Macaca mulatta: one gene and its partners. The protein of the gene in region 3 interacts with the protein of the main gene of each other region in a pairwise test. Links are inferred from orthologs where the notes say so. Each region holds a gene or a part of one and is shown on either strand. Other genes may lie near its edges. The genes, in order: VASP, CASS4, ZYX, TUFT1 and NEBL.

Region 1 (3,513 bases), on a different chromosome or scaffold from region 3:
TCAAACGATTCACCTGCCCTAGCCTCCCGAATAGCTGGGACTACAGGCATGAGCCACCACACCCGGGTAATTTTTTGTGTCCTTAGTAGAGACAGGGTTTCACCATGTTAGCCAGGATGGTTTCGATCTCTTGACCTCGTGATCCGCCCGCCTAGGCCTCCCAGAGTGTTGGGATTACAGGTGTGAGCCACCACGCCTGGCCTTTGTAATTTTAGTAGAGAAGGGGTTTCACCATATTGGCCAGGCTGGTTTTGAACTCCTGGCCTCAAGTGATCCACCTGCCTCTGCCTCCCAAAGTGCTGGGATTATAAGTGTGAGCCACCACGCCCAGCCACCTGGATCATTTCAAAATTGCTTTTTTACTTTTTGTGGAGATGGTCTACAGGCTGGTCTCAAACTCCTGGGCTCAAGTGATCCACTTCAGCTTCCTAAAGTGCTGGGATTGCAGGCATGAGCCACTACACCCAGTCCAGTTGCTTTTCTTTTTTTTTCTTCCTTTTTTTTTTTTTTGATATGGAGTGTCTGTCTGTCTCAGGCTGGAGTGCAGTGGTGTGATCTCGGTTCACTGCAACCTCTGCCTCCTGGGTTTAAGCAATTCTGCCTCAGCCTCCCGAGTAGATGGAACTACAGGTGCATACCACCATGCCTGGCTAATTTTTGTAGTTTTAGTAGAGACGGGGTTTCGCCACGTTGGCCGGGCTGATCTCGAACTCCTGACCTCAGGTGATCCACTCGCCTTGGCCTCCCATAGTGCTGAGATTACAGGAGCAAGCCAGGCGCCCAGCCCAGTTGCTATTTCTTAAACCTTAACATGCACATGAATCACCTGGGGATATGGTTACAGTGCAGGCTCCGGTGCAAATGGGCTAGGGAGACTGAGACTCTGCATTCTCACAAGTGCCCTGGTGATACCGAGGCTGCTGGTCCGCGGATGTGACTGAGTAGCGAGGTTTTATGTGACTGCCATGCATCTGGCCTGGAATCACTGCTGTAGAACTGAAAGTCACCAAATGCAGCGGTGTTTGCTTTGTGGGGCAACTTCTGTGCTAGTGCGGAAGGGGTTTGCTCCTCTGGGGCACACAGAAAAATACAGTGCGCTTCAGTGTAGTCATCTGTAAAATGGGGCTAATTCTTGTTAATTCATAGCCAATTCAATTCAGGTGGGTGCTGGGGCCAGCAGCCTGGAGGTAGGTGAGGAAGAAGCTCTTTACCTTTCCAGGTTCTTAGGTAAGGTCCAAGTGGCTGTGACAGTGGTTAAGAGCTGGCCAGGGGCCAGGTGCAGTGGCTCACGCCTGTAATCCCAACACTTTGGGAGGCCGAGGCGAGTGGATCACTTGCGGTCAGGAGTTTGAGACCAGCCTAGCCAATATGGTGAAACCTCATCTCTACTAAAAATACAAAAATTAGCCAGGATGGTGGCAGGTGCCTATAATCCCAGCTACTCAGGAGGCTGAGGCAGGAGAATCTCTTGAACCCGGGAGGCGGAAGTTGCGGCGAGCTAAGATCACACCATTGCACTCCAGCCTGGGGGACAAGAGCGAGACTTCATCTCAAAAAAAAAAAAAAAAAAACGAGCTGGCCAGGTGCTGTGGCTCATGTCTGTAATCCCAGAACTTTGAGAGGCCGAGGTGGTTGGATAGCTTGAGCTCAGGCGTTTGAGACCAGCCTGGGTAACATAGCAAAATCCCATCTGTACAAAAAAAAAATGATTAGCCAGGCGTGGTGAAATGTGCCCGTAGTCCCAGCTACTCGGGAGGCTGAGGTTGGAGGATCACCTGAGCCTGGGGAGACTGAGACTGTGGTTAGCCGTGATTGCGCCACTGCATTCCACAGCCTGGGTGACAGTGAGACTCTGTCTCGAAACAAACCAACAGTGGTTAAGAGCCTGGCTGCTGGAATCGGCCTGAATTCAAGTCTTGTTCCTGCACATTCCAACCTGGAGAACTTTGGGGCAAGTGACTGTCCCCTGGGCCTTAGCTTCTCCTGTCACTGGGACATCACAACAACACCTGCCTTAGGGCAACTCAGGCCAGGGAGGCTGGTGCTGCCTCACCTCCCAGGGTGTGTCCTCCTGGGCCTGGAGCCTCAGGGCCTCAGGAAGGAGGAAGTGAGTGCCCCTGGGCAGGATTCCTGGGAGGCCTGGAAGAGCAAGGGAAACGCCAAGGGCTGAGCAGAGTTCCGGGACTGACTTGTGGCCCTTTCTCTCTCACCTTCCAGGAGGTGGGCCCCCTCCACCCCCAGCACCTCCCACCTGGTCGGTCCCGAACGGTCCCTCCCTGGAGGAGGTGGAGCAGCAGAAAAGGTGGGGCTGGGCCCTGGGTGGGGAACCTTAGCCACGGCCAGTTCCATACGTTCTGGAACCCTTGACTCCTAGAGTTCAGAACCCAGCCAACTTGCAGTTTTCAGAATGTTCAAGAAATTTCTGACACTGAGAGTTGCAGAACCTCCTGGTCCCTGCAGATTCCTGGAAATCAGAATATGGTGGTTGAAAGAATCTCGTGGCTGGGCGTGGTGACTCACCCCTGTAATCCCAGCACTCTGGGAGGCTGAGGCGGGCAGATCACCTGAGGTCAGAAGTTTGAGACCAGCCTGGCCAACACGGTGAAATCCTGTCTCTACTGCAGATACAAAAATTAGCCGGGCATGGTGGCGCCCGTGCCTGTAATCCCAGCTTGGGAGGATGAAGCAGGAGAATCGCTTGAACCTGGGAGGCGGGGGTTGCAGTAAGCCAAGATCGAGCCACTGCACTCCAGCCTGGGTGACAGAGTGAGACTCTGTCTTTAAAAAAAAAAAAAAAAAAAAAAAGAATCTTGGGCATTTTGTCATTCGGGTGTTCCTGACAGTTTAGTGACTGAGATCTTGCATTCGATCTCTCCCTGTCACTGCCCTGCCCTCCATTCCCCCCACTCTCACCCACCCCCATTCTTGGTTCCCTAGGGGAGGAAGGCTTGGGTGAGGATTAGGAGCCAGCGTCCCTGGAGACCTCTGAGAGAGAGGATGGAGGTCGCTGGCCCCTTCCCTGGTCATCCTTAGGGCCCTGATTGACGGCAGCTCCCTCACCTCCCCCTACAGGCAGCAGTCCGGCCCGTCGGAGCACCTAGAGCGCCGGGTCTCCAATGCAGGTGATGCTCAGATGGCTTCGGGAGTTGGGAGGGGGCCTCCCTGGAGGAAGAGGCCAGCTAGCTGGACAGTGAAGAACGAAGCTTCTCTTTCAGCTGCCCCCTTTTCTGTGTTTGTTTCAGGAGGCCCACCTGCTCCCCCAGCTGGGGGTCCACCCCCACCACCAGGACCTCCCCCTCCTCCAGGTCCCCCCCCACCCCCAGGTTTGCCCTCCTCGGGGGTCCCAGCTGCAGCACATGGAGCAGGGGGAGGACCACCCCCTGCACCCCCTCTCCCGGCAGCACAGGGTCCTGGTGGTGGGGGAGCTGGGGCCCCAGGCCTGGCCGCAGCTATTGCTGGAGCCAAACTCAGGAAAGTCAGCAAGGTGAGGGGCCAGGAGAGGTGGGAAGGGGC
Region 2 (3,947 bases), on a different chromosome or scaffold from region 3:
CAATTCTCCTGCCTCAGCCTCCCAAATAGCTGGGAATACAGGCGTGCACCACTACGCCCAGCTAATTTTTTTGTATTTTTAGTAGAGATGGGGTTTCACTATTTTGGCCAGGCTAATCTCCTGACCTCAAGTGATCCACCCGCTTTAGCCTCTGAAAGTGGTGGGATTACAGGTGTGAGCCACCGATCCCAGCCTATCTGTATAATATTAATAGCAGAATTTCATGGGGATGCTGGGAATATCAATTACATGTTCTACGCATACATGCATGTTATTTACAAATTGCAGTGGGGCTCGGAGGTGTGCACCTGTAGTCCCAGCTACTTGGGAGGCTGCGGCAGAAGAATCACCTGAGTTCAGGAATTTGAGTCCAGCTTGGACAACAGAGTGATACCCCCATTGCTAAATATATTATTTTTAAATAACGAAACCCCACCCAATTGTAAAGTGCTACATAAATTATTTAGGCAGAATAAGCAGCACATAAAAAGAAGTCTAAATCATAAAAAAAAATCTAGGCTATTTAGAAAAAAGGTCAATGTTATGAAAGAGAAAAAGGTAGTAGACTGTTCTAGATTAAGAACTGAGAATTGACAAACAATACCTGGATCAGAAAGACAAACACACAAACAAATAACAACAGCCAGAAAAGCTACAAAGGATCACTTTGGAAAATATGAATTGGACTGAATCGTAGAATGGCATTATTAAATCAGTGTGAATTGGACTGAATCGTAGAATGGCATTATTAAATCAATGTGAAATGTTCTTGGGGATGATGATATGTGGATATTCTTCTACGTTCTGTTCTTAGGAGACACATAATGAAGTTTAGGGGTGGAGCATCATTGTATTGGCCATTTATTTTCAAAGAGTTTAACAACAATAAAAACAAAGTGTGTTCCAGTGTCTAAATATATACAAATAGATGTACACAAATATGACAAAGTACCATCAACCCATGATCTAGGTGAAAGGTATGCAGGGATTTACTGAATAATCCCCACGCTCCCCATATTTTTCCAATGGTTTGAAAATTTTCAAAGTAAGTAGTTGGGGACAAAATTCTAGGGTAGCTAAGGTATTTACATATAATCTATATAAGAGAGACTATCATGGGTTACTCAGCCATAAATTCCACTAGTGACTTTTACAATTTTTTTCTTTTGTTATTTAGTTTTGATTTTTTTGAGACAGAGTCTTGCTCTGTCACCTAGGCCGGAGTGCAGTGGTATAATCTCAGCTCACTGCAACCTCTGCCTCCCAGGCTCAAGCAGTTCTTGTGCCTCAGTCTCCCGAGTAGCTGGGATCACAGGCATGCACCACCATGCTCAGCTAATTGTTGTATTTTTGGTAGAGATGGGGTTTTTCGTCTTGGTCAGGCTGGTCTCAAACTCCTGGTCTCAAGTGATGCATCTGCCTTGGCCTCCCAAAGTGCTGGGATTACAGGTGTGAGCCACTGCACCCAGCCACACTAGTCACTTTTATTATAATTAAAAATAAGCATTGATTTTTTTATAAGCAAGCTCCCCATTTAGTACTTGTTTCATTTCTTTTTTACTGTTCTACTTAAAATTTAAAAAGGGCATAGCAAGATGAAAACACAATCTTGAGCTTCACTTTCTTTACATCTGGGTAAATTTTTTAAATATGGTAACCATTTTAACTTTTTTTTTTTGAGATGGGGTCTTGCTATGTTGCCCAGGCTGGACTCAAACTTCTAGGCTCAATTAATCCTTTCACCTCAGCCTCTCCAGTAGCTGGGAGTACAGGTATGTGCCACTGTGCCTGGCTTCTTTTACCTTTCTAAATAGTGAATCTTTTTTGATTCATGACAGGCATGAAGTCTGTCTGAAAGCTCCAGCTTTGCTCACATAATGCACAAGTAAACATGAAAATAACATGTAACTGCCCACTGTGGGCTCAGCACAGGAGGCTACAGGCAAGGGTCTGGGCTCTGCTATTGCGAGGTGAGCACAGAAATCAATCAGAACAGTTGGAGTGGCACTGAGTGTCTTTGGGGTCCAGAGAAAGAAGGAATTAGTGGGGGCTGAGGCAGACTCACATCTTGCTTCAGAAGTTTGCTGGACACAAAATGATGGACGGTGCTGTCAACCAAGTAAGCTGATTTCTACTACAAGGTCATTTTCACCCATCTTGGATGCAAACTGCTAAGGAGCTTTACAGCACATCTATTTCCCACACTTAAACTTATGTTAAACTTTCCAATCTCAAACTCACACGTCACTGGTATTCAACCTTTGCCTTTATTAGAAAGTCACAACTAAAGCTGGTCAATACCCTTAATCATCACAGCTTGCTCCCTGCCAGAGCCCATTCAAACAGCCCCGCATCACTCACCTTGGGCGCACCGTCCACGACGCCTGTTCCCTTCATGTCGGTGATGTGGAGCAGCTGCCCTGAGCTCTACGGCTAATATCTCCGGCTTCAGAGGCAGATTATGCAATGTCACTGCATGCTTCTGGCTGGTTCTCAGAAACTGAATTCTATGGTGCTATCTGACAACACACGGGAAACGATCAAAAAGACTCTCCCAGCAGGCGAACTTTCTGGAAAGCACGATAAGAGTAAAATGAAAGCAGTGAAGGAGGGGAGAACCAGAAATACAAGCCACACTCACGCCTCATTGCCTGACGTCTCACTTTGTCTATAAGTAGAGACCGTCACTCATTTGCTATGTGAAACCACAAAAGAAGAAGAAGAAAAGAAAAACACCACTCTTCTGCTTTATAGGGCGAAGTTCCTACTTTGAAGAGCTCAGTGTATGAACATACAGCATTCTTGTCCTTTGAACTCTGGGGAACAACTCCCACCCGACAGACCAAGCTCATTTCCCTGATGAGAGGCCACTAAGCCAAATTTCCGATAGCGGTCAGCTTTTCTTCCTTCCTGCTCCCAAAAACTTGCCTTATGACAGCCAGGATAAAAGCAGTCAAGCAGGCTGCCTTAAAGGACACAGTCTCCACTCTACCCACCCTGTCAGTTGCGCATTCTCCCTGCTCGGAACCCCGTGCTCACCTCCTGGTCTTTGCTCACGGTACCTAATGATTAACATCTTCTGGGTGCTGGCTCTGCACTGAGGGCTATGCTGAGTCCCACACCTGTATTCTCTCTCTTAAATCAAATCAACCAATCGCGTGTGCTGTACTTGAAACCCCCGCTAGCTCATGCAGTTTCTCATCACTTGCCAACTCTTTCTACTTTCCCTACATTCAGATCCAACCTCTAGAGAGGACCTACAGCATAGCAGACACTGTGCAAAGTAAGTCTGCATTTTTTTTTTTTTGAGATGGAGTCTTTCTCTGTCACTCAGGCTGGAGCGCAGTGGTGCTATCTCGGCTCACTGCAACCTCCACCTCCCGGGTTCAAGTGATTCTCCTGCCTCAGCCTCCCAAGCAGCTGGGATTACAGGCACCCACCACCACGCCTGGCTAATTTTTGTACTTTCAGTGTAGACAGGACTTCACCATCTTGGCCAAGCTGGTCTCAAACTCCTGATGTCAAGTGATCCACCCACCTCAGCCTCTCAAACTGCTGAGATTACAGGTGTGAGCCACCACGCCTGGACCTGGCCTTCATTTTTATTTAGACAAAATGGTACCCATTCTTCCAAGCCAGGCTCAAGTTCCATCCCCAGCCAGCTGTGTCTCCGCTCACTGCTCTCTTCTTGTCAGACAGCATCTTTTTATTTTTTATTTTTAAATTTTCTTCTTTTCTTTTACCACGCCTCTGAGACAAGTTCAACAGACAGCCTTAGCGTCTTGTCTTCCGGTTGTCCGGTGTGTAGTCCCCACAAGTCTGGGCACCAGGACATATTTTACCCATTGAAGTAGCTGACTGATTTCTGGCCGAGACAGTCCATATTTTTAAATGTTATCGTTGTTAGAAATTAACTTCCAGAGCCAAGTAATTGGCATACTGCAGGT
Region 3 (4,031 bases):
AAGAAGAAGAAGAAGAAGAAGAAGAAGAAGAAGAAGAAGAAGAAGAAGAAGAAGAAGAAGAAGAAGAAGAAGAAGAAGAAGAAGAAGAAGAAGAAGAAGAAGAAGAAGAAGAAGAAGAAGAAGAAGAAGAAGAACAACTAGAAGAATTACCCGGGTCCGGCCTCTTTCGCGTAGCCTGGGGCTGAGTCGCAGGCTGAGAAATCTGGTCGGGCCAGTAGGGGGCTCCACCAAGCGCAGTCTCAGAATGCCCAAGAGCCCCACCGTCGCCCGGGGTCTTCTAGAGGAGTGGGTAGTGGTGGGCGCTGAAGAGCTGTAAAAGACTAGCAGCCCGCGTCCGCGTCCGTCCTCCCGGGTCCCCAGTCCGCAGGCGGCCGCCGCCTCGGCCCCGCCCTCCCACCTCCATTCCCGGCCCCGCGGGCCCGAACGGTCCCTCTCGCAACCGATCCTATGGCGGGGGCGCGGAGGATGCGAATTCCTAGAAGCCTTAAGAGGCTGCCCAGCGTTGGAAGTTCGTATCCCCGAGAATGCTGGAGGTTCCAGCTCACACACCCCCTCCGAGCACAGAGTCAGCTGGGGGGTGCTGGGAGGGAGAACGCCCCGCTCCTCATCCCCCATCCTTGTGCACCCTGGAGCCCAGCTCCATACGTTCGGCCACCCCAGGCGGACTCGGAGGTGGTCGGGTAGCGGGTGGTGGCGGGAGGGGACCGGGTAACTGCAGGCCGGAGAGGAGGTCGCTGGGCCGGGCCGGAGGCGCACAGGGGCTGCGTGGCTACCTCTGCGGCACCGCCCCACCTCCGCCGGCTAAGCCCGGAGGGGGACGGTGAGTCAGATCTCGGGCACCCGCGGGTCGGGCATGGGGGGAGGGCAGGTCAGGAAATGACATCAGAGGCCTGTGCTCAGGGAGCGGGGGTCTGAGCCGGGCCGGGGCGGCGGGGGCGGCAGTGAGTGGAGTGGGGTGGCGGCGGGCGGACCTCGGCGGAGCCTCTGGCCTGAGGCAGGATCAGGGCCCCTTCCTGGGGGAGTTTCCTGCCTGGTCCGCCCTTCCCCGCTCTCCCCGCCCCCTCTCCGGGCCGCTCCTTGTATGGTCTGGGCGCCGCTCTCTCCCCGCCCCCTCCCTCCTCCCTCCCTCCTCCTTCCGTGTGTCCCTCCCCGCCCGGCTGGAGGCTGCTCCGGACTGGGACGCAGAGTCCGTGGACCCGGCGCCGAGGAGGCCACCCGAGACGCGGCGCGCACGCTCCGGCCCGCGGTGAGGTGCGGGGAGCGGCAGGGCGGCCCCACGGGGAGGGGGCGCGGGGCGCCGGGAGGGGGCGCATGGGGGTCGCCAAGGGGAGCTGGGACCGCCCGGGGCTCCTGAGCCGGGCTCTGCGCTGCGTAACCCGGCGACCCACCCCAGCAGCCCGGCCCGGCCATGGCGGCCCCCCGCCCGTCTCCCGCGATCTCCGTTTCGGTCTCGGCTCCGGCTTTTTACGCCCCCCAGAAGAAGTTCGGCCCTGTGGTGGCCCCAAAACCCAAAGTGAATCCCTTCCGGCCCGGGGACAGCGAGCCTCCCCCGGCACCCGGGGCCCAGCGCGCACAGATGGGCCGGGTGGGCGAGATTCCCCCGCCGCCCCCGGAAGGTATGCGGCGGGGCTTGGGGGCTGGACCCCAGCGGGCGCCGGAGGGGGGGCACTGTTTCGGGAATCTGGGGATGTCTGGAAAGGTTGTTGCCTAGGGGGCTGGGCGCAGCCACCCTGTCCCGAGCAGATGTTCTTACCTCATCGTGGAGCTCGTGGCTGGGAGCCAGAGCTCCTGGGACCGTTCCAAGTCCCCCGCTTGGGGGTGGGAGGCGGGAATGTGGGGCACGAATCTTCCCCTCCGGGTCCGTTTTCCGAAGTGTAACGGGAGCTGCACCACTCCTCGGCCGTGCCCCCGGCCTTTCCTGACCTGGTACTCCCAGGGCGCCCTGCGCCCCGCCTTTGCGTCCCCACACGCTCTGGGACCCTCGAGAGAATTCTTGGGTTAGGGGTTAGAGCGGTAAACCGAGGGGAGCTTGGGTGAGGGGCAGAGGGACCCCGGGCGACGTCTTTCTCCTTCCTACCCCAGACTTTCCCCTGCCTCCACCTCCCCTCGCCGGGGATGGCGACGATGCGGAGGGTGCTCTGGGAGGTGCCTTCCCGCCGCCCCCTCCGCCGATCGAGGAATCATTTCCCCCTGCGCCTCTGGAGGAGGAGATCTTCCCTTCCCCGCCGCCTCCTCTGGAAGAGGAGGGAGGGCCTGAGGCCCCCATACCGTCCCCACCGCAGGTATGGAGGCCTGGGAGGGGCGGCTGTACCGGACACCCCCAAGGCGAGGAGAAGAGGGCCCTTTCTTACCTCCCCTGCACCTCTGCCTTGGGGGTGGGGGGAATGGAGGCATGGAATAGGTGCTCTGACCTCTGACCCTCTAGCCCAGGGAGAAGGTGAGCAGTATTGATTTGGAGATCGACTCTCTGTCCTCACTGCTGGATGACATGACCAAGAATGATCCTTTCAAAGCTCGGGTAAGGGACCGCAAAGTAGGAAAAGCAGGGCCCAGGGCCAGAGAGACAGGGGATAGAGCTATGGAGGATGGTGTCCTCCTGTCTGCATCTCTCTTCCCTCTCCCACCCCTTGCAGGTGTCATCTGGATATGTCCCCCCACCAGTGGCCACTCCATTCATTTCCAAGTCCAGTACTAAGCCTGCAGCTGGGGGCACAGCACCCCTGCCTCCTTGGAAGGCCCCTTCCAGCTCCCAGCCTCTGCCCCAGGTTCCGGCTCCAGCTCAGAGCCAGACACAGTTCCATGTTCAGCCCCAGCCCCAGCCCAAGCCTCAGGTCCAACTCCATGTCCAGTCCCAGCCCCAGCCTGTGTCTTTGGCTAACACCCAGCCCCGAGGTCCCCCAGCCTCATCGCCAGCTCCAGCCCCTAAGTTTTCTCCAGTGACTCCTAAGTTTACTCCCGTGGCTTCCAAGTTCAGTCCTGGAGCCCCAGGTGGATCTGGGTCACAGCCAAATCAAAAATTGGGGCATCCCGAAGCTCTTTCCGCTGGCACAGGCTCCCCTCAACCTCCCAGCTTCACCTATGCTCAGCAGAGGGAGAAGCCCCGAGTGCAGGAGAAGCAGCACCCAGTGCCCGCACCGGCTCAGAACCAAAACCAGGTAAGGGATGGTGATAGGACAAGGCTTGGGACCCGGGTGCTGGGGCGGGGCTGAGTCAGGAGCCAGAACAGAAGCATGAAGGTGATTGGAGAGTCAGGGTGGACACGGGGGTGGCGGGATAGGAAGTTTCATCCTCTGAGGTTAGCCTGGTGGAACAGTGGTAAGAAAATGCTCTTCTGGAGGAGAGGCCTGGCTGGGTGTGGGGCTGGGTGGGGCCTGGCTGGGAGGGCACAGAGAGCACAGGCTCTGAATTAGGAGGATCTGGTGGACCTTTCCTTGCGCCTTTACCCCAGAAAGTTAAAGGGAGGGATGAGATCACCAGTCCCACCTTGGTTTTTCCCATTCTTGGGTCTTGACTTAATCTCCCTGCTCCTCTGAGCACTCTTTCTGCCTGAGGGCTTGGAGATAAGAGTCAGCCCCAGTAAACATAGGCTGAGCCAGCATCTACCACGTGCCAGGCACTGTGCTCTGTGCTCAGGAGGGTAGGACATGGGAAGGACGAGATCTCTGCAAGAAGCTCAGCCTTCAGGTGTCAGATGGACCTGGAATGGAATTCCTGGTTCGGGCTTCTCCCAAGCCCTTAGACTGGGCAAGTTAGGTGAACCCTGAGCCTCAGTTTCTCAATCTTTAACATTATCTACTCCATACAGTGATTGTAAAGATTAGGTGAACTAATAACCTAGAGAGTGTTGGGTTCTGTATCTAGCACATGAATGCTCAAAATACAAAAGCTGTAATTACAAAATGGTTCTTGCCTTCTAGTTCAGGAAATAAGACCTTCCAGTTTCTGGTGATGATGATGCTGGTCCAAGCATCCATAGAGTCCACTGATAGTGTGGATGTCTGCTTACACTCAGACACAGCATAGGAAGAAAT
Region 4 (3,513 bases), on a different chromosome or scaffold from region 3:
TACAGACATATTTAAAGCCATATATTGAATTCATTAGAGTGAGTGCCTCTTGCAGGAGGTGGAGAGGCAAAAAAACCAAAAAACAAAAACTAAAACCAGTGAGAGGACTTGACAGGACCCACGAGGACGATGTGCCATGAACTAATGGGTGGGTCTGATTCAACCTATACCTGAGGGCCAAAAACACCAAATGCCAAAACATACCCAACTAAAGAAACAAAAAAAAAAAAACAATTATAAAGACATGCCACATACTGTACAATGTGAATATTATAAATATATATTTGCATTCAGGGAAAGATGAAATTTCACTGTGGTTTTTCTCTGAGTAGATTACAAGCGACATTTTTTTCTTCTTTCACTTTTCTGTGTTTCTGAATTTTCCAAATTTTCTACAGTATGAATGTTTGGTATTATATAATCACAAAAAAACATAATAACACACTTTTAAAAAATACAGTCATGGTGGCCGGGTGCAGTGGCTCATGCCTGTAATCCTAACACTTTGGGAGGCCGAGGTGGGTGGATCACCTGAGGTCAGGAGTTCGAGACCAGCTTGGCCAACATGGTGAAACCCCATCTCTACTAAAAATACAAACATTAGCCAGGCGTGGTGGCTCATGCCTGTAGTCCCAGCTACTCAGGAGGCTGAGGCACGAGAATTGCTTGAACCCAGGAGGCGGAGGTTGCAGTGAGCCAAGATCACACCACTGCACTGCATCCTGGGTGACAGAGTAAGACTCTGTCAGTCAATCAGTCAATTGATCAAGTACAGCCATGGAAGGAAATACTATGTAGTTATTCAAAAGAATGAGGTAGATCTATTATATACTGACATGGAAAGAAGGTTATAATATACTCTTTAGTTAAAAAAAAAAAGCAAGCAAAGAAAAATGTATTTACCATCCTATAGTTGAGAAAAGCACATATATATTATATACATATATTTATCATGTATATATGGTATGTATATAACATATACATGATATTTAAATATGGTTGTCTATGTATATAAAAATATTCTAGAATACTGGCACTCAACTTTAGCTAAACATTAGTATCACCTGAAGAGCTCTTAAAAGTCCTGATGCCCAGGCCACCTATTGGAACAATGAAATGACAAGCTCTAGGGATGGGACCCAGGCATCATATCCTTTAAAGCTTGCAAGGCCATTCCAATGAGCAGCTGAGGCTGAGAAGCACTGCCCTAGAAAGATCCACCCACTTCAATCTGTTAACAGTGGATACTTGTAAGGAGTGAGATTGGGGAAGGAGAATTTCCACTCTTTATATTTCTCTTGTTGTTTGAATTTTTATGTCAACTACTACTCTTGTATTTAATGAGAGAGAGAGAGAGAAAGCAATAAACAAAAGGATGGGGAGGAGGCAATCCTGCCCCTGGCTAAGCAGAGCCACCGTTGTGTCCTCTGTTACCCACCTCAGGTGGGCTGCTGTACAGGGCCGTGGGACTCTGACTAAAGCCATTTGGCTTTTCTAGCACCACCTGTTCAAAGAAAAATAAAACTGGGAGTTAAAACAGATGAAAGCAACCAACTTTGAACATTATTCTCCTAACACTCAAATCTTAGAGAAAGACAGGGAGAGAGAGAGGAAGGTGAAAGGGAGGCAGGGAGAGAGAAAAAGACAGGGAGGGAGAAAAAGGAAGGAATTAAGAAAAGAAAAGAGGAAGAGGGAAGGAAGGGAAAGAAAAAAAGATTCCTAGTGTTCCCAGAGAAAACAGAAACAAGAGGGGGTGGAGAAATGTGTGTGGCCTTGAAAGGGAACACCCTAGCCTTATAGGGAGGATGAAAAAAAACCTCAGGCTAAAACCTTTCAGCAGATAGAAAAGTATGTGTAGTCCATTCTTCTTAGCCAGGGAATAAGTGCAGCTGCCTGACACAAACAAAGAGTTTCCCTTGCCCCCAGGGATCCTGGCAAAGTTTGACAAAGCAAAAATTACAAAGGGAAGCCTTTTTAAATTATTTCTGACCCAAAGCCTGATTATTCATCATATGACAGCTGGTTTGGGCAAACAAGGGGACTGGACTTTGGGCCAGTCTCTGTGCACATTAGGTTCTTCTGCCACCTGACAAAGGAGCTCCCACCAGCCAGATGTGAGCTCAGGCACTGAAAGGCCTGCCTTCAGCCAAAGCAAAAATTAGGAAATGTTCCACCACACAAGTGCATGTCCAAGACAAAGAACTTTCCTTGCACCAGCTGCTGGGCCGCTGTTCCCCTCAAGGGAACGAAGGCAGGGGCTGCTGCTGGAGCAAGACACCCTGCCCGAACCAAAATGCAAATCAAAGATACAACTCAGAATCTAAAGGATGAGGGCGAAGTCACAAAGAGACAGCTCTGTTCTCCCAAGGGCATGTCTATCTTCGAGTTTTGGAAAAACTGAAAAGCAAGATCCCAGGATTATCCATCCCAGGAAAGACTTATCCAATCTGTTCAGTCTAACAAACATTTACTGATGCCTTCTACATCCCAGACCTGGGGAGAGAGGGAGGGTGAGGATACAGACACGGGATGGGGGTGGGGTGAACTCCTAACCTTGAGGAGCTTCCCATCCCAGGTTAGACATAACTATATAGAAGATTAATAACAGGCTAGGGCACGGACTTCAATTCACACTACAGGTGCCACCCAAACTAAGCAAGATCAGCTTATGAGAAGTGTGGATTTACAGGTGATTGTCTGCTTTATAAAATTCCATTATTACAGGAAGCTTGATCACAGAATCCTTATAGATAAGAGGCTTTGCTAACAACTGATGATATTTAATTTGTGTAAGTTCAATTTCTGTACAATGTTTCAGGAGCAGGTGTACTTATGCTTAAGCTGACATGTGTAAATGTAAGTGCTCATCGGCTGGAGAGTCCTAACCAGATTGTGAGTGCTCCAGAGAAGCCAGCATCACCTCTATTTTCTCCATTCCTGGCAGAGATGCCAGACTGAGCACACACTGGGTAATTGGTAAATGAGACTGCCTGGCACAACCCCACTTCCTCGGTGGGGACCCAACCATGGACCGTTTCCTATTACCTGTATCTCCTGTCGATGGAGAGAATCTCCTAGGTCCCTGTCAAGCTTGCTACTTATATCCTCCCGGAGCTTCTGTAGGCAGTTCCTGGCCTGGGAGGGGAGGGGAAGAAACTTGAGCTTTAGGGTAGAGAAAGAGAGCACGCCAACTCACCCAACTCTGTGCACCATCCCCGGCCTGGACTATGAGTCAGGCACTGTCCTAACTACTGGCCGTAGGATGGAGAGAGGTACCCTGGTCAAGTGGGGCTACAGCTGACATTCTTGTTGGGGAGACACACACAACACAAAAGACAAATAAGTAAAATGTGTAATATGTTATATGGGCATAAGTGCCCATGAGAAACATGAGCCAGGAAGGGAGTGAAGAAATGCTGTGAAAAGTTGGCTGGTAATTTTCGATAGGTGGCTGGGGACAGTGCTAGGCACATAGTACTTAAGTATCCGTGGATTAATGGATCACGTATGAAG
Region 5 (4,176 bases), on a different chromosome or scaffold from region 3:
GGATATGTGATACCATTAATTTAGCCTTTATCAAAAACTAGTTCAAGACCAATAGCTCCTTCTAGAACACAACATTTTAGCAGAATAGAGCAATATTTCCCTCAGTAATAGGTCATATTTCACAGAGGAGTGTTAGTTTTCTGGGGTAGTGGGTATAATTAAAAAAAAGTGATAGGTAGATAGAAAGATAGGTAGGTAGGTAGATTAGATTAAATTGGATTAGATTTGATGAGATAGATAGGTTTTGTGTTCAGGGGAAAAGGAGGTTAAGCAAGCCTAAGTAGGTTTTTTGGTTGAAGGTCTTCTCAGAACTTCTAATGTGTCAGTATGCCTTGTAGATCTCTAAGTGGCAGGGGCAGAGATTGGGGTACAGATTTCCCAAACGTATTTGTTTAAGAAACCTGCTCTTCTCCCCCAGAATCTTTTGTGGAACTTTTGCCTCATGAAACACAATTTCAGAAATAATTTGTACACGATGACTGTGTAGAATGTTTTTCTTGTTAGGGTTTTCAGTTTAGGTAAGGCCGAGGCATTTTTTTAATAACACATTGAAAACTAGATATGATATCAAGAGAAAAAGAGTTATGCTTGGCTACTTAGAATGATGTATTATTTTTAATAAATTTGTATTTTCTGTCATCAGTATTACTATTCCTTGTAGAGTATTTTTTTATGCCCGACGCTAATATGCTATGACTTGGTAAAATTAATTTCCCCTAGGATTTAAATAACCAGATTAATAAATCGTGAGTTGTAGAGAGTCTTGGAATTGCCTGAATTGACATTAAAATATTTGTTTTGAAAAATGTATTTTTAACCTTGGTTTTACATAACCAAGGACACATACCACATTATAAATATTGTGATGGTTTATTTTTCCAAACTTTTCTGAATGTGGGGTACCCATTGAGTAATAATGCACATCACCAATGAATCTGTAAAAATTGACATGATGAGTAGAATTGCAGAATTCAAAGATGATGATGATTATTTTTGAAACAGTGATGTTTCTAGAATTGTTAAATTATATATCAACGTGTGTTAACTGCAACTTCTCATGTTTAATGATGTTTACAATTAATACAATACCATACTCGCCAGTATAAGACTAACAGTCATCATTAACTCAGAATAGATTCTTTGAAGTGGTTCAAAGGGCTTTTCATAATAAATAACTAGCCTCTAATCAGCTAATATAAAGTGGGTATTTTTTAGGATGTGAGAAGTACTGGTGTGTCTGATAAAACATATAATTTGGGTTAACAAAATGAGCTTGAATGATCCAGATTCTCTACCCCAAGTCAGAAAGAAGTCCGACATTCCAGTGAAAGCTTTATTTAGACAGAGATGAGGAGTCTTTGAGATAACAGGCTTTGGACTGTGCTATCTTGAGTGTTAGAGCTGAGTAGTTTTTGTGGAATCTCTAAGTCCTTTTTACACTCTTTTATGAATGAATAGAATTAGTAAAAGATAAATAAATTTTCTCTTTTGGATTTCTTAACCAGTGGAAAAAATGTTGACTTTAAAAGTTCATAAAATCAAGTTTTGCCCAAGAATATGTTATGTCCACTTGTGAGGCCAGCCTGGTAGACCTCTGGGATCCTGTTCTGTTCACTCACACACCACTGAGATAAGGAGTGAAGTGTGGGCTAAATAGGGCTGAGGCTTGGGCAAGGGCGTTTCGAACAGAGCACCAGAGACATCAGCATCTCAAGGGCACTGTGGTACAAAAAAGGACGCCACATGAGTAAATTTTAAAAATAACTATTTTAAAGGGTAAAAATGAGGGTCCCTGTATTTGAGGATGTAAAAGATGAAACTGAAGAAGAAACAATAGGGGAAGAAGAAAATGAAGAAGACCGGGTGAGTAAGAAAACACATACTCATGACCAGCGTTTGTTCCTCTAAATTGATGATGAGAAAAATGTTCTCTTTCTTTCTTTCTTTTTTTTTTCATATAGGTCTTCTATAAGCCTGTTATTGAAGACTTAAGCATGGAATTGGCCAGAAAATGCATGCAACTCATTAGTGATGTAAGTGGCTGGAGTACTTTCTGTCTTATTTTGCATTGCACCTGTGGTATTATTATGTTATAGAGGCATAGAGCTGTGGGGGAAACCCTGAAATCACCTTTTAAAACACAGTCACTTTCCAGATCATGGAACAAAGTCCTGAAATTCTAAGTGATTTCGCCAAGGTCACCTATACAGAGAATTTCTGCTAGAGCAAGTCTCCTCATTCTTAATCCAGAATCCTGTCCCTTATGAGGTTTGCTGTCACTCTGGCATGAAATCATAAGGCATTGAATTGCAGTATTTATTCCATTTGAGAACTCCCAAAGATTTTAAAATGAATGTAATGATGTAATTTGTCTTGGGAGGCCCTCTATCTAAATGAGTAGTCATTTTTTAACATTTTGGGGCATTCTGAAGAATCTAATGAATGGACTTGTCTTTCAGAACAGGAAAATGCATATATATATATATCTATGCATATAACTTCTATTTACAATTCAGGATTTGTGGATTACCAAGCTGCTTGCTAAGAACCCTGATATTAGAGAAGGATATTAGTGCAAGGGGCATTTTTGTTGTGACATTTTTTAGTAACTGGGATTGGTCAATATTACACTTCAAGGGAATCCCAGAATATATTGAATGATTGAACGTATAGTTTTATGTTAAATATGTAAGCTAGAATTCAAGAAGTACAAGGAAAAATGTTGCTCACCAGGAATGAGAATTTAGATGATCCTCATTAACAGTTCTAAGAGGATTGCTGGTCCAGAGGAAGGGTGACTCCTGTAGAGTGAATATGTGCCTGTGTCTTCATTTAGAGAGATGAGCACAATACTGGTTGTTTCTGTTGTTGATAATGAGCAAGATGATCAGAATGTTTTGCACGTTTGTTTTCAAAGGGAAGTCAGTCCTGGGCAGGAGGACAATGGGCTGGCACGTCCTCCAAAGTCAATCTGCCTGGGTTGACTCCACAATAACCTTGGAAAGGTTATGTAACCTGGCTGGGCTCCATCCCTCAGCTGTAACATTTATAATAAGATTAAATAATGGTAATGCATCTAAAATGCTGAATAAACTATCTGGAACATTGTGAGTACTCCATAAATGTTAGCTGTTATTAACTACTCTGTCTGTTACTTACTTTTACATCCATCCAATCACAGTTTAGATATGACTGGCTCTTTTTGACAAACCAGAAGACAAGCATAAAGGATGATGGTGGAAATCATACCCTTTCCCATATACTTGACATGTGATGTAATTACCCTTTAAATTAAGTATTTCTTTGTGCTATTACTTAATAGTCATTAGCTATTGTATGTGAAAGTTATTTGTAAATTGCAATAATAATAAATGACGACAACAACAACAATAACAATATTGGCAACAGTTAAGATTTAGTGACTACTATGTGCAGGGATTGCAGCTTGCGAGGTAGGCACTATGCTGTTTCTCATTTTTGAAGTGAAGAGATAGAGGCACAGAGAGGTTCAGTACCTTGCCTGGGTCACACAGTTAAGCAGCGGCAGTAATATTTGAACACAAAGGCCTCCCTCTTACACTGCCAAGTTATCTCTCACTGTAGGTTTCCATGAAATGTTGTTCTTTGCCTTATTATTATTACGCTACTATTAGTAGTAGTAATGCTACCTACTAAAACTCTTAAGTTCCTAACCTCTTCCAGCTTTGATATATTTTTATTGAAGTGCAATTATAACTGAGCTAACTTGTGTTACATAAACCATCAGGACTAAAGTAGTAACTGTAGTTAGTAGGTGATTTTGTTGGAGTTGTTTTGGGTAAGATTGTTTATCAGTGACTTTAAAACCAATGTGTTGCCGGGCGCGGTGGCTCAAGCCTGTAATCCCAGCACTTTGGGAGGCCGAGACGGGTGGATCACGAGGTCAGGAGATCGAGACCATCCTGGCTAACACGGTGAAACCCCGTCTCTACTAAAAAATACAAAAAACTAGCCGGGCGAGGTGGTGGGCGCCTGTAGTCCCAGCTATTCCGGAGGCTGAGGCAGGAGAATGGCGTGAACCCGGGAGGCGGAGCTTGCAGTGAGCTGAGATCCGGCCACTGTACTCCAGCCTGGGCGACAGAGCGAGACTCTGTCTCAAAAAAAAAAAAAAAAAAAAAAACCAATGTGTTGTGGGGG

The links.
Region 1: the proteins of ZYX (region 3) and VASP interact in binary tests that used the Homo sapiens proteins (3 or more experiments, as listed by UniProt). The link is inferred for Macaca mulatta from reciprocal best matches to the Homo sapiens genes ZYX and VASP.
Region 2: the proteins of ZYX (region 3) and CASS4 interact in binary tests that used the Homo sapiens proteins (3 or more experiments, as listed by UniProt). The link is inferred for Macaca mulatta from reciprocal best matches to the Homo sapiens genes ZYX and CASS4.
Region 4: the proteins of ZYX (region 3) and TUFT1 interact in binary tests that used the Homo sapiens proteins (3 or more experiments, as listed by UniProt). The link is inferred for Macaca mulatta from reciprocal best matches to the Homo sapiens genes ZYX and TUFT1.
Region 5: the proteins of ZYX (region 3) and NEBL interact in a two-hybrid assay, tested with the Homo sapiens proteins (2 studies listed by BioGRID and IntAct). The link is inferred for Macaca mulatta from reciprocal best matches to the Homo sapiens genes ZYX and NEBL.

The regions. Positions count from the first base shown.
Region 1 is NC_133424.1:58,051,503-58,055,015, forward strand, and holds part of VASP (vasodilator-stimulated phosphoprotein), read left to right. Parts: intron 1-2,217; coding exon 2,218-2,302; intron 2,303-3,072; coding exon 3,073-3,122; intron 3,123-3,242; coding exon 3,243-3,484; intron 3,485-3,513. UniProt on the Homo sapiens protein: Ena/VASP proteins are actin-associated proteins involved in a range of processes dependent on cytoskeleton remodeling and cell polarity such as axon guidance, lamellipodial and filopodial dynamics, platelet activation and cell migration.
Region 2 is NC_133415.1:109,181,019-109,184,965, reverse strand, and holds the start of CASS4 (cas scaffolding protein family member 4), read right to left. Parts: upstream 2,812-3,947; 5' UTR 2,398-2,811; coding exon 2,362-2,397; intron 1-2,361. UniProt on the Homo sapiens protein: Docking protein that plays a role in tyrosine kinase-based signaling related to cell adhesion and cell spreading. Regulates PTK2/FAK1 activity, focal adhesion integrity, and cell spreading.
Region 3 is NC_133408.1:183,412,229-183,416,259, forward strand, and holds the start of ZYX (zyxin), read left to right. Parts: upstream 1-1,223; 5' UTR 1,224-1,251; intron 1,252-1,396; 5' UTR 1,397-1,408; coding exon 1,409-1,616; intron 1,617-2,082; coding exon 2,083-2,282; intron 2,283-2,425; coding exon 2,426-2,518; intron 2,519-2,633; coding exon 2,634-3,155; intron 3,156-4,031. UniProt on the Homo sapiens protein: Adhesion plaque protein. Binds alpha-actinin and the CRP protein. Important for targeting TES and ENA/VASP family members to focal adhesions and for the formation of actin-rich structures.
Region 4 is NC_133406.1:115,513,863-115,517,375, forward strand, and holds part of TUFT1 (tuftelin), read right to left. Parts: intron 3,136-3,513; coding exon 3,046-3,135; intron 1,505-3,045; coding exon 1,439-1,504; intron 1-1,438. UniProt on the Homo sapiens protein: Involved in the structural organization of the epidermis. Involved in the mineralization and structural organization of enamel.
Region 5 is NC_133414.1:22,388,073-22,392,248, reverse strand, and holds the start of NEBL (nebulette), read left to right. Parts: upstream 1-1,364; 5' UTR 1,365-1,782; coding exon 1,783-1,863; intron 1,864-1,961; coding exon 1,962-2,033; intron 2,034-2,730; exon of another isoform or gene 2,731-2,936; intron 2,937-4,176. UniProt on the Homo sapiens protein: Binds to actin and plays an important role in the assembly of the Z-disk. May functionally link sarcomeric actin to the desmin intermediate filaments in the heart muscle sarcomeres.